Linked DNA regions of Alligator mississippiensis. The protein of the gene in region 2 binds, or shares a complex with, the protein of the main gene of each other region. Links are inferred from orthologs where the notes say so. Each region holds a gene or a part of one and is shown on either strand. Other genes may lie near its edges.

The links. Proteins that work in one complex are often made in the same cells at the same time.
Region 1: CNOT2 (region 2) and CNOT8 share a complex: the UniProt entries of both Homo sapiens proteins name them as parts of the CCR4-NOT complex. The link is inferred for Alligator mississippiensis from reciprocal best matches to the Homo sapiens genes CNOT2 and CNOT8.

The regions. Positions count from the first base shown.
Region 1 is NC_081832.1:77,043,758-77,050,919, forward strand, and holds the start of CNOT8 (CCR4-NOT transcription complex subunit 8), read left to right. Parts: upstream 1-4,162; 5' UTR 4,163-4,300; intron 4,301-4,436; exon of another isoform or gene 4,437-6,144; intron 6,145-6,354; 5' UTR 6,355-6,446; coding exon 6,447-6,563; intron 6,564-7,162. UniProt on the Homo sapiens protein: Has 3'-5' poly(A) exoribonuclease activity for synthetic poly(A) RNA substrate. Its function seems to be partially redundant with that of CNOT7.
Region 2 is NC_081827.1:70,446,932-70,454,242, reverse strand, and holds the start of CNOT2 (CCR4-NOT transcription complex subunit 2), read right to left. Parts: upstream 3,018-7,311; 5' UTR 2,981-3,017; intron 2,364-2,980; exon of another isoform or gene 2,264-2,363; intron 1,710-2,263; 5' UTR 1,633-1,709; coding exon 1,603-1,632; intron 1-1,602. UniProt on the Homo sapiens protein: Component of the CCR4-NOT complex which is one of the major cellular mRNA deadenylases and is linked to various cellular processes including bulk mRNA degradation, miRNA-mediated repression, translational repression during translational initiation and general transcription regulation.

The DNA.
Region 1 (7,162 bases), on a different chromosome or scaffold from region 2:
ACTTGAATATGAGTTTTTTGCCCCCAGTCAGCACGGGGGAAAAAGCCCCTTGTCTTACATTTGCATGCAAGGAAATCTCACTAAACACACTGTCCATCTTTGAACTGCTGCTAAAAGCAGTGTATGCTCAGCAGTGGAAACCAGCTGTGACATTGAGTAAATGCAGCCAGCGCTGATCATGCCAATAAAATACATGGACATTGGACAAACATGCTGATGGGAGCCTACTACCAAGACAGGTTGGTGCAACCCATCTGAATAAGATATATGTTAGTGTCCACTGAGTGCAGTCTCTTTCAGCACCTCTTCTTTTTTAATCTCATGGTGAGCCACCAAATTGCATATATTTTTTACTTTATCTTCACTCCCACAGCTGAGCTGTGCCTATCTTCTCCATTTCCAACGAGCCCTGTTTCTTCACCAGCCTTAATGGCCTGGCAAACATCACCAAACAGGGCTCCAAACATACCTCTCTCATATGATTAGTGGTCCCTCCACGAGGTGAAGCTGGACCAGGATGCCCTATGTCTCATCTGCATCTACATCTTGGAGGATCCCAGGACTCCTGGTAAGAACACCTGGTTCCAGTGATGAGGAAGGGCTAATTAGCATGCTTTGTGGGGGTATCTGGGGTACACACACAAACTGGGCAGTGCTGAGCTGTGGGGTCACCATGGCTTGAAATGCTGTTAACTCTGCTGGAGGGAGGAGAGGGCATCCTAATGAACTATATGATAAATCATGAGCCTTTTGTCTTTGGACTAATATTATACACAGCTTGTATTACATATAAATAGGTGTCAAAGTGCTACTTAAAGTGTATTTAGGGAGTACCTGTGCAAAAGCATGCAGCCATTTCAAAAAAGGTAAAATGTAGAACAGAGAGCTGAAACGAACTACTTCAACCAGGAGACCTTACAACACCTACCACTCTCCTGTGAAATACGAGTTTTCATTTCCACCTAGGAGCAATTTTACAATCTTTGCACTCTCCTATGCCTGAGGAAGGGTAATTGTGCTCGAAACCTTGCAAATAAAGTATTTTGTTTGCAAATATCTAGTTGGGCTAATAAAAGATATCACCTCTGCCATGTGCTCTGATTCCACTTGATTTGACTCCCACGCCAGAAAAGTCAGTTATGAGAAGAATTGTAAAATGCTGCTGTTTAGACACTTCAAAAAAGCATCTTCATTTCATCTGCTAACCCCCCACTCCATCCTCAAAGATGTTAATTTATTCTATCCAATTTATAACACAATTTCCAATATGTAAAAAATGTGCTAGGATAGAACCTGACTGAAACACAAATGATAGTTTTATTATGTGTTTGATAAACTGTACCTGAGCGCAACACGCACAAGCAGCCTGCTACCCTGAGAATAGCAGCTGTAAATGGCTTTGCAGCAGGATAAAATGAGTTTATCTTCTTTTGCAAAAGCCCTTTGCCCACTGTAAAGTATTTATCAGTCCATATTGCACTGTTATGTACCATGTGAATGAACTCATGTTACCTTAGAAGAGTTATCTGTGCAGTTCAACCTACTCTCTTTAGAAAAACTTAGTATATTATAAATCTTGCACTTTACTGAGCAGTTTCTTTCCAAGACTACTTCATCCTAGTGCTATTTACACATAACAATTTTCAAAATGTATGTCCTTTTGAAATGGATACTCTATAAAGAGCAGGCTGTCTGAAATCATTCCATTAGGAGAGCACTTTTTATAAAAAAGAGGCCAATGATTTTTTGATGGAAGAGACTGGCGGTCAGGAATTGTATACACCTAGACATGTATAGAAAGGAGTTTCCAACTACTATGATGTGCCATACATCTGCCTGCTGACTTTTTCATACTGATGCTATGGTTCAAAGCTTATAGAAACCCTGTATTCAACAATAAAAGAAGCCTGAGGATATACTGAAACTTAACATACTGCAACTGTGGGTCCTTAGAAAGATGGAGAGCGATTGTTCAACTCCCATCTTGTACTTTTAGGGAATTATTTCAAAAACAAAAAGAAAAGAAAAGAAACATCACAGTTCTTTCGTGCCAGGTCCCCTCCACCTCCCTAAGTCGTGGCAGAAATCTTGCCAATGGAAACCACTCCAGTGCACTGTCTACATCTTCACTCCCTACCCCACCTTTGAATCCTTATCCCATTAAACTTCTCACAGCAAAGCGCGTGCAGCCAACTTGGTTACATCCTTTTGACTTCCAGTATTTTTGCTGAGATGACTCAAGATGCACCCACTAGACTACCAAAAGATACGTACCATGGAGCTGGAGCTGTTCCAGTGAACAAAGACAACATACACCTCCAGCATAGTGAATTTACCATACGCATTGGCATACAAGCCAAATGGGACTCAAAGAGACATCAGACCTCTTAGTTGGCTGCCGTCATCAGTCCTTCAACTGATGCCACTTAAAAAAAGTCTTCTTTTTAAAATCATTTTTGAAGTACAGACAGTCCTCGACTTACAGTTCGAGTTACATTTTGCACTTATAATGTTTCTAAATTGACACCGTTTCGACTTTATGACATCAGTTTCGACTTTATAACGCTTGATCTGATTCATAGATTGTAGAGTCGGAAGGGACCACAATGGATCATCGTGTCCGACCCCCTGCCCCAAGCAGGGAAAGGACCAAGGTCAGACGACCCCAGCCAGGTGCCTATCTAGCCTCCTCTTGAAGACCTCCAAGTTAGGTGATAGCACCACCTCTCTTGGCAGCCCGTTCCAGATGTGACCCCACGCCAGCCAACAAGCTCGCTGCGTCGCCCATCTCTCTGGGGAACATCTGTCCAAACTTCCTTGGATGCTTTCTTTAAGAAAGCAGACAGGACTCCAGAAAACCTGCATCCAGGACTCCTGACAAGACTTCAGCCAAGAGCCCTTCAAAAAGTCCAGCAAAGTCACCTCAAGGAAGTCTTTCCAAATCAACAGGATTGCTATTTACAATATAAATACATGAATGTAGCTGTATTACTCATGTATATTTGATCGAGTGCAAAATTATAGGTTATTTTTGGTGAAAACAGGGTATAGGGCCTTGGTTCAGGAACCAACCTCCCCATTTATAACATTGTTTCTTGTGGGGAAAAACGGTTCTGAGTTACGTTTCGACTTATGACGCCGTTTTCAGGAACCAATCGCGTCGTGAGTCTGAGGACTGCCTGTATTCACAAAGTACCGGCGTTAATCAAACAAAAGGACAACGATTAGTAACACCGCGGTGTCCCCTACTGAAGCAAAGTACCGACGGTCTTGTAATGACATTTCCCACTTAAAAAAAGAATTAGTCAGGAAAGTTGTCTGGATTAAAAGATCCTGGATTCCTGCAATAGCTGTTCGTGGATGAAGAGGACCATTTTTTCGGCACTGACCACATCAGCCCTCAGAAAAAGCCGTTACGTCCCCTTCGTTTTCAATTTTCGAGCACGTGTTTTAGTGCCGGCCGGCTATTTTTCGAGCCAGAGAGTCGTTTCGATGGCGTGATAATCGCTTTACACGCGCGGCTGGTTTCAGTGATTGGGTTCGGGGCGTGATCGTTGCCTGGCGCTTGTGGCCGGTCCGTGTTTATTGCGCAGGGAGCCGCGCAATACATGTAACGTAGCAGGGGGCTGCACAAAACGGAGACCACCGGGAAACGAGTTGACGTCAGCGCACAGGATTAGCACCGAATTGACTGTGTGGACGTGCTTAATCTGAATTAATTTCCCTCTTATGCAACAGCCCTATATAAGTGAATGGATTCTCCCACTTCTCCACCCCCCCCCCAAGGGGGTCATGGACTCTCCCAACAGCGCCTGGAGAGAGAGACTTGGGAAAGTCCAATAGAGTTAGAAAAGGGAAGGGGGGGGATAAAAATGGAACGGCCAACTTCACGCATGCGCCCTTCAGCATTATTGCCCTCTTCCCCACGCGCATGCTCCAAGTGGGCAGGGCGTCGCGACACGAGGCTCGCTTTCCAACGCATGCGCAGTGACGGCAAAATCCCTCCTCCCGTCTTTCCCTCTGACCTGACGCATTCACGCAAACTTGGGCTCTCGCGAGAGAGCGGGAGGCAAACCGGAAGTTCCGTTGGCGGCGGGACTTCGCGCCGGAAGTCCGCCAGACCGCTCACCTCCCGGTGGGGAGGAGCAGACGAGTCGTGGGGGAAGGAGCAGACGAGTCGTGAGGGGGGGGCTAGAGCGGCCGCAGGAAGAGCAGTCCCGAGGCCTACCCCTCAGTCCCACTCTCGCTTCGCCGGGCCCGGTGGGAGCGGGAAGGAGCCGGGTTGGCACGCAGCTAGCAGGTGCTGAGCGGGGGAGGGGGAGAGGCCTCGCTCCGAATGGCCCGCTCGTGTGAACGCTCTTAATCCGGATTAGTTTGATCCACTTGCAGCGGGAGGGGGGTTGTGGGCCAGGCTTGGTGCAGGAGGCACCGGGGGACCGTTTGAAGACCGGGGAGCCCCGTATCACCTCGTTAACACGGTTCCTAACGGGCCCTGTCGAGAGAAGGAGGAGGAGGGCAGTGCAATGAATGTCGCGTCTGCCAGTCTCGACGCGACTCGACAGCTGTCCCTTAAGGGCTGGGACGTTTCAATTCGGAAGCCCCCGAGCCCTTGTCCTCCAGCCGCGGCTTCCCCCCGCCCCCGCGCGCGGTGAAGCAATAATCCTCGCGACCCCCTCGGTCCCGCGCCGGCAGACGGCACAGCGAGCGGTCAGGTGGGCCCGGTCCGCCGCGTGCGTGCGTGCGTGCGTGCTGCGAGACCTGGCGCGCTGTCGCCAGAGCGCCGGAAAGGGCTCGACCGGGCTTGCTCGCCCCACGCGCCAGGATGGGCTGGTTTCCTTACGGTCGTAGGATGGCGGCGCGCTTCGGAGAGGGGTGTCCTGCCTCAGGCAGAGGGATGCGCTGATCCGCGTTGTGCGGCACCATCATCCCTCTCCAGACCGTGCCTCAGGCAGGCGGATGCACGAATCGGCGTGGTTCGGAGAGGGATGCACGAATCGGCGTGGTGCGGCAGGATCATCCCTCTCCAAACCAGGCCTCGGGCAGAGGGATGCACTAATCCACCTTGTGTGGCATGGTTTGGAGAGGGATGCACTAATCGGCATGGTGCGGCAGGATCATCCCTCTCCAAACCATGCCTCAGACTTCAGAAGGATGCACTGTAATCGGCATGGTGCGGCATGGTTTGCAAAGCAATGCACTATAATCGGCATGGTTTGCAGAGGGATGCACTAATCGGCATGGTGCGGCATGGTTTGCAAAGGGATGTGCTAATCGGCATTGTGCGTCATGGTTTGGAGAGGGATGCACTAATCGGCATGATGCGGCAGGATCATCCCTCTCCAAACCATGCCTCAGACTTCAGAAGGATGCACTGTAATCGGCATGGTGCGGTGTGGTTTGCAAAGCAATGCACTATAATCGGCATGGTTTGCAGAGGGATGCACTAATCAGCATGGTGCGGCATGGTTTGCAAAGCAGTGCACTATAATCGGCATTGTGCGGCATGGTTTGGAGAGGGTTGCACTAATCGGCATGATGTGGCAGGATCATCCCTCTCCAAACCATGCCTCAGACTTCAGAAGGATGCACTGTAATCGGCATGGTGCGGCGTGGTTTGCAGAGGGTTGCACTAATCGGCATGGTTCAGAGAGGGCTGTGCTAATCGGCATGGTTTACAGAAGCATTCATAGATGTTAGGGGTGAAAGGGACCTTGGAAGATCATCGGGTCCAGCCCCTTGCACCCAGTAGGAGAGAGGACTGAGGGTGAGGTGACCGTCCAGTCTCCTCTGGAAGATTTCCAGAGTAGTTGATTGCACCCCGTCTGGAGGGAGCTTATTCCACAGACTGAAGGATGACCCTCCCTGGGGCAGGGGGTCAGACAGGATGACCTCGGGAGGTCCTGTCTGGCCCCACTTCTCTCTATTAAGATTTCTCCAGAGCAGCGAGACCATGCTGCGGTGGGTTGCAGATGACAGCGCACATCTTCCTACTTTTAGTTTCCTGAAGCAGCCAACAGAAATGTTGCAAAACTTTAGCAATTAAATTGTTGCCAAGTGATGTGTGCAAACAAGCCCTACCCTTAAAATGCAGTCCTAAAAGGAGGAGAAACATTGGCTCGTCTCAGCTGGAGTTGGTAGTCCCAGGTACCTTTTTGCTAACTAAGAATTGTTTCCTTTTCCTTTGTCCCTTGACTGCCTGTTTTAAGGACGTGTTAGAAGCAAGAAAGAACATGTTAATTCAGATGTTTCAGCTGAACTGACACCACAAGGCAGAAACTTGACTGGTTGTGCCTGCCGGCGTGTCCTGACTTGTGGAGCGGTGTGGATATAAATATGAGTTTGCATTTCTTGCAGCGTGCCGACTGAGCCACAGAGCTGGCAGCTCTACACCATCATACTGACCACCCAGACACGCCATTGGGTGCTTCTATTCCAATTCCTGCAAGATGCCAGCAGCACTTGCAGAGAACAGCCAGGTTATCTGTGAAGTATGGGCAAACAATCTGGAAGAAGAGATGAGGAAAATTCGAGAAATTGTTCTCAGTTACAGATACATCGCCATGGTAAGAATATGGTGCTTTTTAATGACCATTTAAGCTGTCAAAGTAAAGGGATCTCAGCGGGGTAGGTCACTCAAGACAAAAAAGTGTTTGTTTTCCCAGGTCAGCTTGAGCCCAATAGTACGTGGAGCAAACAGCTGGGAAACTAGTTAGCACTCGGCACTTGACTGCGTTTTTAATATATAGACTTTCTTAGGATTTATACAGATAACTTTATGCTTCATTACATACCTGCATAATTTCACAGGGCAGGCAATCCTGAGCAGATGAGATCTATTACACTTACTGACAGGGATTGTATTACTTTGTTTGTATGAGAGAGAATTAAAATAACAAGATGGTCATTTGGTCGTAAACATTTTGATTTAGCTAGCTTGAATGACACGGGCGATTTGGCTGAGAGAAATTTCTTGCTGGCATGTGGCAAAAGGCATGCAAGTCACAACTCGTTAGCTAATAGGACTGCTCCATAATGGTCAGTCACTACAGCCGCAGAGTGGAGGATAATTTGGCCTCAAATATCACGTCGACTTGTTCAGATAGACACATTTATCTCAAATTTCTGAGAATCTTGTTGAGGTGGAATTCCTCGTGTGGTCGGG
Region 2 (7,311 bases):
AAATAAAACAAACACAAATGTAGGTCTAACTCCTGCAAATTCCTCAGCAAGTGCTCATCTGTCAGTAAGTTACTATTCAAATGAAGAATCCTACTTAAGTGTGTACATAAATAATTGTAGGATCAGAACCTTAACCAAAGCAACACTTTAGGTCACTTTTTAGGGGCATTTAAAAAAAAAAAAAGTACAACACCCCTCTAACACAGGAACCTGAAATAAAAACAAACCATTCTGAAGTACTACACATATTAAAAAAACAAGATGTTTTAATTGAAAACATATTCACCGAAACAGACAGAATATTTTATCAAAGTCAAAATGCCTAACAATTTTGTAAGCATTTTAAGATTATTTTTCTATTAGCTAGCAAGTCTAAGTTACCCTAACCTTGAATTGTTGGGTTTTGTCAGCAAATATTAGTGGCTGCATTTTTGCATAAATGATAGAAATATCAACCTGATCCTGCATAATTATGAACAAACACCTACTTCTTAAAAAAGAAAAAAAAAAGTTAATTGGTACAAAGTGTAACATGTTTAGACAGGCTTACACTGGAAAACTAAAAGTTCTTCCAGTCTGGAATAACATTTATAAATATGCACAAACACAACAGAAGTAAACCAACATGGGGGGAGGGGTGGAGAAGGTAGTAACCAACATATATTCTTCATTGAATTTTTTGGATTGTCACAAGGAAAATCCCTCTCCCCAAAATAATAACAGATCAGATCACAGCCATTTACATAGCACTATAAAAAAAATATGGATCCTACAAGCTTAATGCCAAATTCTATCCTTGAATGCTTGTGTAGAATTTGTGTACAAATCCCATTAACACTGCCGACTTGACCTGAAAAAATAAATAATTTGGGTTTAATCTTAATATTTTACATTGTGAGAAAACTATTGGAGAATGCTTTTTTAAAAGGTACACTTTCAGTATAAGGGACAATACCCACTTTTTTCAAACTTTAGTACTGAAAATAGACTTCCAAAGGAGATGAAAGTGTATTTTTACAACAAAATTAAACTGTAACAAATTAAGCCTGCAATCCTGTCTAGATAGACAACACACAGGCAAGACTGGAGGAAAAATAAACAATTTTGATGTCAGACCTATGGTCAGTTAACTCAGTGAAATGGCACTCTCAACTTTCACAAAGAGCTAGCGCTAAAGACCAACATTACCAAATGTGAGCAGGGTTCTAGGGCTACTCTAAGTTGCCCAACTGACAACACTTTTATGGGATCTGATGTTCAGGAAGTAACAAGTACTCGTTCTTTAGAAGTTGGGCCCTTCCAAATGACATCTTAATTTGGGCACTCCAGCTGTTAAAGTCCTTTCTTAAATTCTCAGATAACTTTAGACTAGCATTAACAGTTAAGGCACAAGGAGCAGATTCTCCTAACACAGAGTTTCATAAGTAAGTAGTTACAACTCTTTAGAGAAGGATGCACAAAACAAAACGTTCTTTCCACCACAACGTCATTAGCTTCAGTGCAACTTCCTGAAAATGAAACCAAAATACCACTTGCGAGACAATGACAAATTACTTTGTGATGTGAAGCATTCAAATTCCCTCGTAATAAAAGGACTGGTACCTTGAAGTCTGGAAGCTTACAACATACCATCAGGAATTCTCCGGGCGAGCAGTGATGCTGTTATACCAGTACTCGAGAAACAAGGACAAGATCTTGCAAACCTTGTTCTATTAACAACAGACAGTGATGAAATGTCCCGTTCTAAGAGGAGACTCAAAGAACACTGCTGCTTGCACAAAGTCCTTCCTAGGCCTAAATACAGGACTTTTGCCATAAAAATCGAAATAGCCGCATTTTGGTTACTATTCTAGATCTATACGCCATAACAGTTTAACCCTCCCTCCCAGCAGCATGATTCCTATTGGCCGGTATGACAGCAAGTCCAATCACCCTTAAATCACCTGGTTGAAGAATAAAGCCCAGCAGCCACCCACCACCACCACCACCAGACTTTAGCACCATCAAGACTATGAACAAATGTTGCCTTCAAGACACCATGCACACTCGGGCAGATGTGAAAATGTGACACCACTGCCAAGTGTCAGCTGGAGAGCAGCAGGGCAGAGATTAAGTTTCTCCAACAAAATAGATTTTTAATTTTTTTTTTTTAAAGTCAAAAGCTGCTATTGGCAATCACCTCCCTGAAGGTGCAGGGGGAGGAAGACACCACGGCTGTACTCAAGTTCTACCCCAGAGGGAAGAGAGCTCAGCCAAAAGTTACCTGTGGCTTCAGGCGGACTTCTCTTTCCCTCTCCCTAAGCGAGGCTGGTTTGGCGAGCAGGTCAGGGCATCCTCCAGCAGAAACCCCCACAAGCAGGGCCCGAGCACAAACCCCTGGCAGTCCCCGCTACCCCCGCCCGGCTGCCGGCACAGGGAGGCGAAGCCCCGTGTCCCCGGCCCGCTGCGGGGAAGGGAAGCGAAGGGCCCGCTCTCAAGTTTGTTCGCCCAACACCGGGACGGGCGGCTCAGCCCCCCGTCTCCAGCAGGAGAGCGCCGGAAAACACCCCCAGTCCCCCGGGCTCGGCCCCTCTCCTCAGCCCGGGCCGGGCTCAGCGGCGGTGGCGGCAGCGACAGCGGGCGCGCTGGGCCCGCTGAGGAGCGGCGGCCGCGGCCGGGCCCGGCGCTGAGCGCAGCGCGACGCGGCCTCCGGGCCCCGCGGCCGCGGCCTGGTCCTGCGCGCAGCGGGCCCGGGGGGCGCCGGCCTCGGGCGCCGCGCGCCTCCCCCCGCTTCCCTCTCGCTCCCTCGGAGACAAAAGCAAACGGCAGCCCGGCGGGCCGGGGCCGCGGCTGGGCCCGGGGCCGTGGCCGGGCGGGGGGCAGCGGCGCGGGCGGGCGAGGCCGGGGCGGCCGCGGGGCCCTCCGGAGGTGGCCGCGGGCCAGGGCAAGGCGGGGGAGGGCGCAGCGCGGAGCCCGCGGGGGCGCGGGGGGCCGGACTCACCGCATGAATTTTCTTGTCCCGCCGATCCAAGATGGCTGAGTCCCCAGCACGGAGGATGCTGGGGGAGCGACCTTTACCCTCTGACCCCGCCGCCGCCGTGACCCCGCCGCTGCCGCCGGGCAACCCGTGTGGGGGAGGGGCGGCGCTCCGCCCCCTGCGCAGCGCGGCGCTGCGGTGCGGTGCGCTCCTGCCGCCCCCGGCCCGACTCGGCTCGGGCCTGGCCCTGTTACAGGCACAGACACACGCACACACACACCGAGGGGGGAGTTGCTCCGTGACCCGGCCCCACGCACACGCAGCCCCGCCGGTGGAGCCGCCTGTCCCTGGTCAGGCAAAGGCAGGGGTGGGCCGCATGTTTCCTCTCATGGGGGCTCCGATCCCACCCGCTTTGGGGCCTCAGGGACCCAGGCCGGAGGCGGCAGGGACAGGCTGTTTGTTACTTTCAGGGGATCAAGGGTGACTATCAGCCGCCCTTAAGGAGGGAGGCCCCTGAGAAAGCGACGGCCAATTCCTTGGGACACAACAGCCAAGGAAACAGGGAAGGGAGCAAGGTCATGGGTTCAGAATCAGGGATTGGGAAAGTGGAGCTGAGCAGAGTGCACTGGACAGTGCCCGGCGGCCCTCCAGAGACTCCAAGGAGCCGGTGGATGCTGCTCAGTGATGGGACGAGGGACAGGAAAGCGGCCCTGCAGTCCCCGTTGGCTAAGTCAGAAACCAAATCTTTTCGTGCCCGGGCCACTGGTCCGATTGGCCACCTTGTCCCATCCGGCACCTGAGGCAGATGCTGTCAGAGCGGTTTCGGGGCACCATGTAGTTTCTCTTAACTGGGGCACCCAGGAGGTTTTTCACATCACAACCTTCAAGCTTGGCTTAAATAACAAGGGCCCAACCCTCCAGACCCAGACAGGTTAGACGGGTGATTCTCCAGCTGGATGCCACAGCACCCTGGGGTACCTTGAAATCCTTTCAAGGGTGCAACGGGGTGCCACACAGCATTAGCACTGTGAGGCGTGCAGATCCAAACTTGCACAGTAAACCCAGAGGTTTCAAATGGGAATTGGCAGTGTTACGACAAGACTGAACTGTTGCAGTCTTTGTGAGTTCTTCGCAAAGGAAGAATGGCTCTACTATTTTTCCGTCATTAAGAAACACTTGAAAACTAGGAGCCGATATTTTCTGAAGGTGCCTTGAGTTTATCAAAGGGTGTCTCCGGTCTAAAAAGGTTGCCCACCACTAGGTTAGACATAACTAGTGTGAATATTCATGCTAACTTCCGTGGGGCTACAATGGTGCTTAAGTCGGCACATAAGGCTTACCTGATAATAGCTGAACTTCCCCATCCTTTAAAACAAAAAGAATAAAACTCATAGACTATTGTTATTTTAATTGTCATAATTTTTTAATCTGAAGTAGCTGCATTAAGAAATAACACGAGGAAAAAAGGCACTAATGGCTGATTTTTTTAATGTTTTTTTTTTTCCAGTAATAAAAGAGGCTTCATACTTTGTCATTTACTCAGGCAGGTTTGATTCTTACAGTTTCAAAATTGTCTTACTGTTCCAGCTAACAGTATAGAAAGGTAGTTAGCCGTGCTAGTCTAAAGTCTGGCAGAAAGTGGGACAGGGTAGCAATTTGGAGACTTAACTGATTCAAAAACACATAAACTATTGTGTTTCCAATTAAGTAGACTAGGGGCTGGATGAGCAGTGCAAGGTCTGATTGCAGGCTGGATCCAGACAGCAAGCACAATCCAGAGCATGGAGCAGACGCAGCAAGGGCCCATCCGGCCCATGGACCACCCCAACAGCCCAGGTCCATTCTGGCTGGATCCAGCAACCTGGGTGGGGGGACCCATGTCCGTCTACATGGCAACAGACTGACCTGGCTGGGCCTGCATCCAGATATGTGGGGCTTGAAAATTTGGCAGCAGCGGAAAGGTGTAGCTATCCTTTCCTACCACCAAATTTCCCAATCCATGGGGAACTCTGTAAGCCAGATGCCATGGCTCCATGGCCTAGATTTGGCTTGCAGGCAGGAGGTTGACACCCCTAAAGTAGATTTCACCTGCAGAAGCTTTCCTTTCTGAATTAATTAATAATCTCTAAACTGCCACCCTACCCTGCTTCCTGCCTGTTCCAGCTAAGAAACCTTATTGAGGGCAGGTTACCCAAAACTCTACCTTATAAACAAACATTTTAATGTGTAAATAGAAATTTAATATTTGAGGGCAAAATAATACACAATGTTTCTTTAATGACACCTTTTTACTATAACTATACAACCTGGTTTAAGGCCTCCATTCAATTTGATCAGAACTGTTTTTTCTGATCTTACAAGCATAAGTCAGAACAAGCTATCATAGTTCTTTTTTCTGTTTAAAAAATTATGCAGTTCCTAAAAATAAATAAAATAGCAAAAATGTACCTTCAAGGCTTGGAGGTTTATTATTTGTTTGTTTAAAGAAAAAAATTAAAAAGGGAAAAAAATAAGAATCTTTTAGACACCTTTTATGAAAAAATGTGGACTTCTGTTTTTAGACTAAGAGCAATACATGAATCTTCTTAATCTACTCCAGAGGTTCCCGAACTTTTTCGTATTGTGTGCCCCCTTCCAGATTTACCAGCTACCCATGTACCCTTACCAGCATCTGTTTTATATTTTAAACCCTTAAATACCAATTATGATTATAATGAAAATTAAATCCACCAGTTCACAATTTCTCCCGCATACCCCCAGAGATGTCTTGCATACCTCCGGGGGTATATGTACCACAGTTTGGGAACCCCTGGTCTACACAGCTGCAAAATTATTAAAGAGAATTTTTGGCCTTTTACACCCTGAGATTTATTCTGTTAAATTTGAGTTTAGACTTCTCCCCATTCTGCTTACTTTTCACAAGCATTGTTTTAGTTAAATTTCCACAAAAAGAAAATTGATGTAAAGATATGATATCCACTAGTGTGACGCATGTAAACTAAGCATCCAATTTTATATTTACCTCTTTCTGGGCTGGTCCCTGCATCCATTACAAAATTTGGGTTCAAGTGTAAAATGGTATGTACTTGTACAACATTTAGGTTACATATTTCAACAACATTCAGGAAGGAAGCACAAACATTCAGTTTTATCACAGAAAATAATTTCTTTGTTCTACAGATACTACTTGTTAAGTAGCCTAATCAGTCCCAATGTGTGTAAATTAATGTTAATCTAAAAACCTTAACTGCTATGTTCCCTGACTTCCTATCTTTCATTGTAGACCATTACCATTACAATTAATATGTGTATTTGACTTCTTTTTTGGTTTGTTTTGTTTTAGAGAACAGGAAAGTTGTCAGCAATTTAAAAAGACTTTGAAGTTGATAAATAGATAACAACAGACTGTGATTAATGTAGTGAGTTCGCCTATTTGCAACTTCTGCTATTGGCTAAGTACATTTTTCTTCAAGGCTGAAGTCTGTTCTGTTACTAAGTAGCATTTTATTAACTAGGCATGCATTTTAAACCATGTTAGATGAGTGCAAACCCATGTGTAGACATTTCTAATTCAACTGAAGCCTGGTTTACCATTTAGCTTGCACGTGTAAGGCTTTGTCTCCAAGCAAAGGCATACTGATTTGGTTCAGTGTGTGTGTTTCTAACCTATTTAAGGTAGACTGATTCAAATTTGTATGTAGACACACTTTACTGTAGTTTGAAGAGTAGCCTATTTTACAAACTAAATAGACATGGCAAATTTTAAACACATTTTAGTAAACCAAATTTAGTTAAATTGCTGACACACCTAAGTATAAACAAGAAGAGCAGCATTAATAGAAAACTTCTCCTGCCCTTGGCTCTGTGAAGACGCAGATCCACGATTGTCAAATCAGGGCCTGAATGTCTATTTATGTATATGCTGCTCTCCCAAAGACAGGCTTAGGGTGACTTACAATAAAGACCCAGATAAATTATAAAGACAGATTAAAATATTAAACAAAAGTAATATGTATTAGAACAAACGCTCCATAAAATGATCCAAAACTCAACCCTGCCAGCAAAAGGCCTGCCCAAATCAAAAAGGGTTTACAATATTTTTGGAAGAAACATCCAGGCTCAGGCTGTGACAGGCCAGAACAGGAAGGAGTTCTATTTCTGGGAAGGAACTATCAAGAACAAGCCCCCAACATGGTTTGGAAAAATGTGGCACTCATTTGAGTTTTCATTGTACAACCATGGTTCAGCTAGGCCTATGCATCCCATTTACCATGCTGCTCAACCGTATCATTCTACGTGGAAAAATCTGTATGGCTATCCTTGGCCTCAGATATAGACAGTGACAGAAGGACATG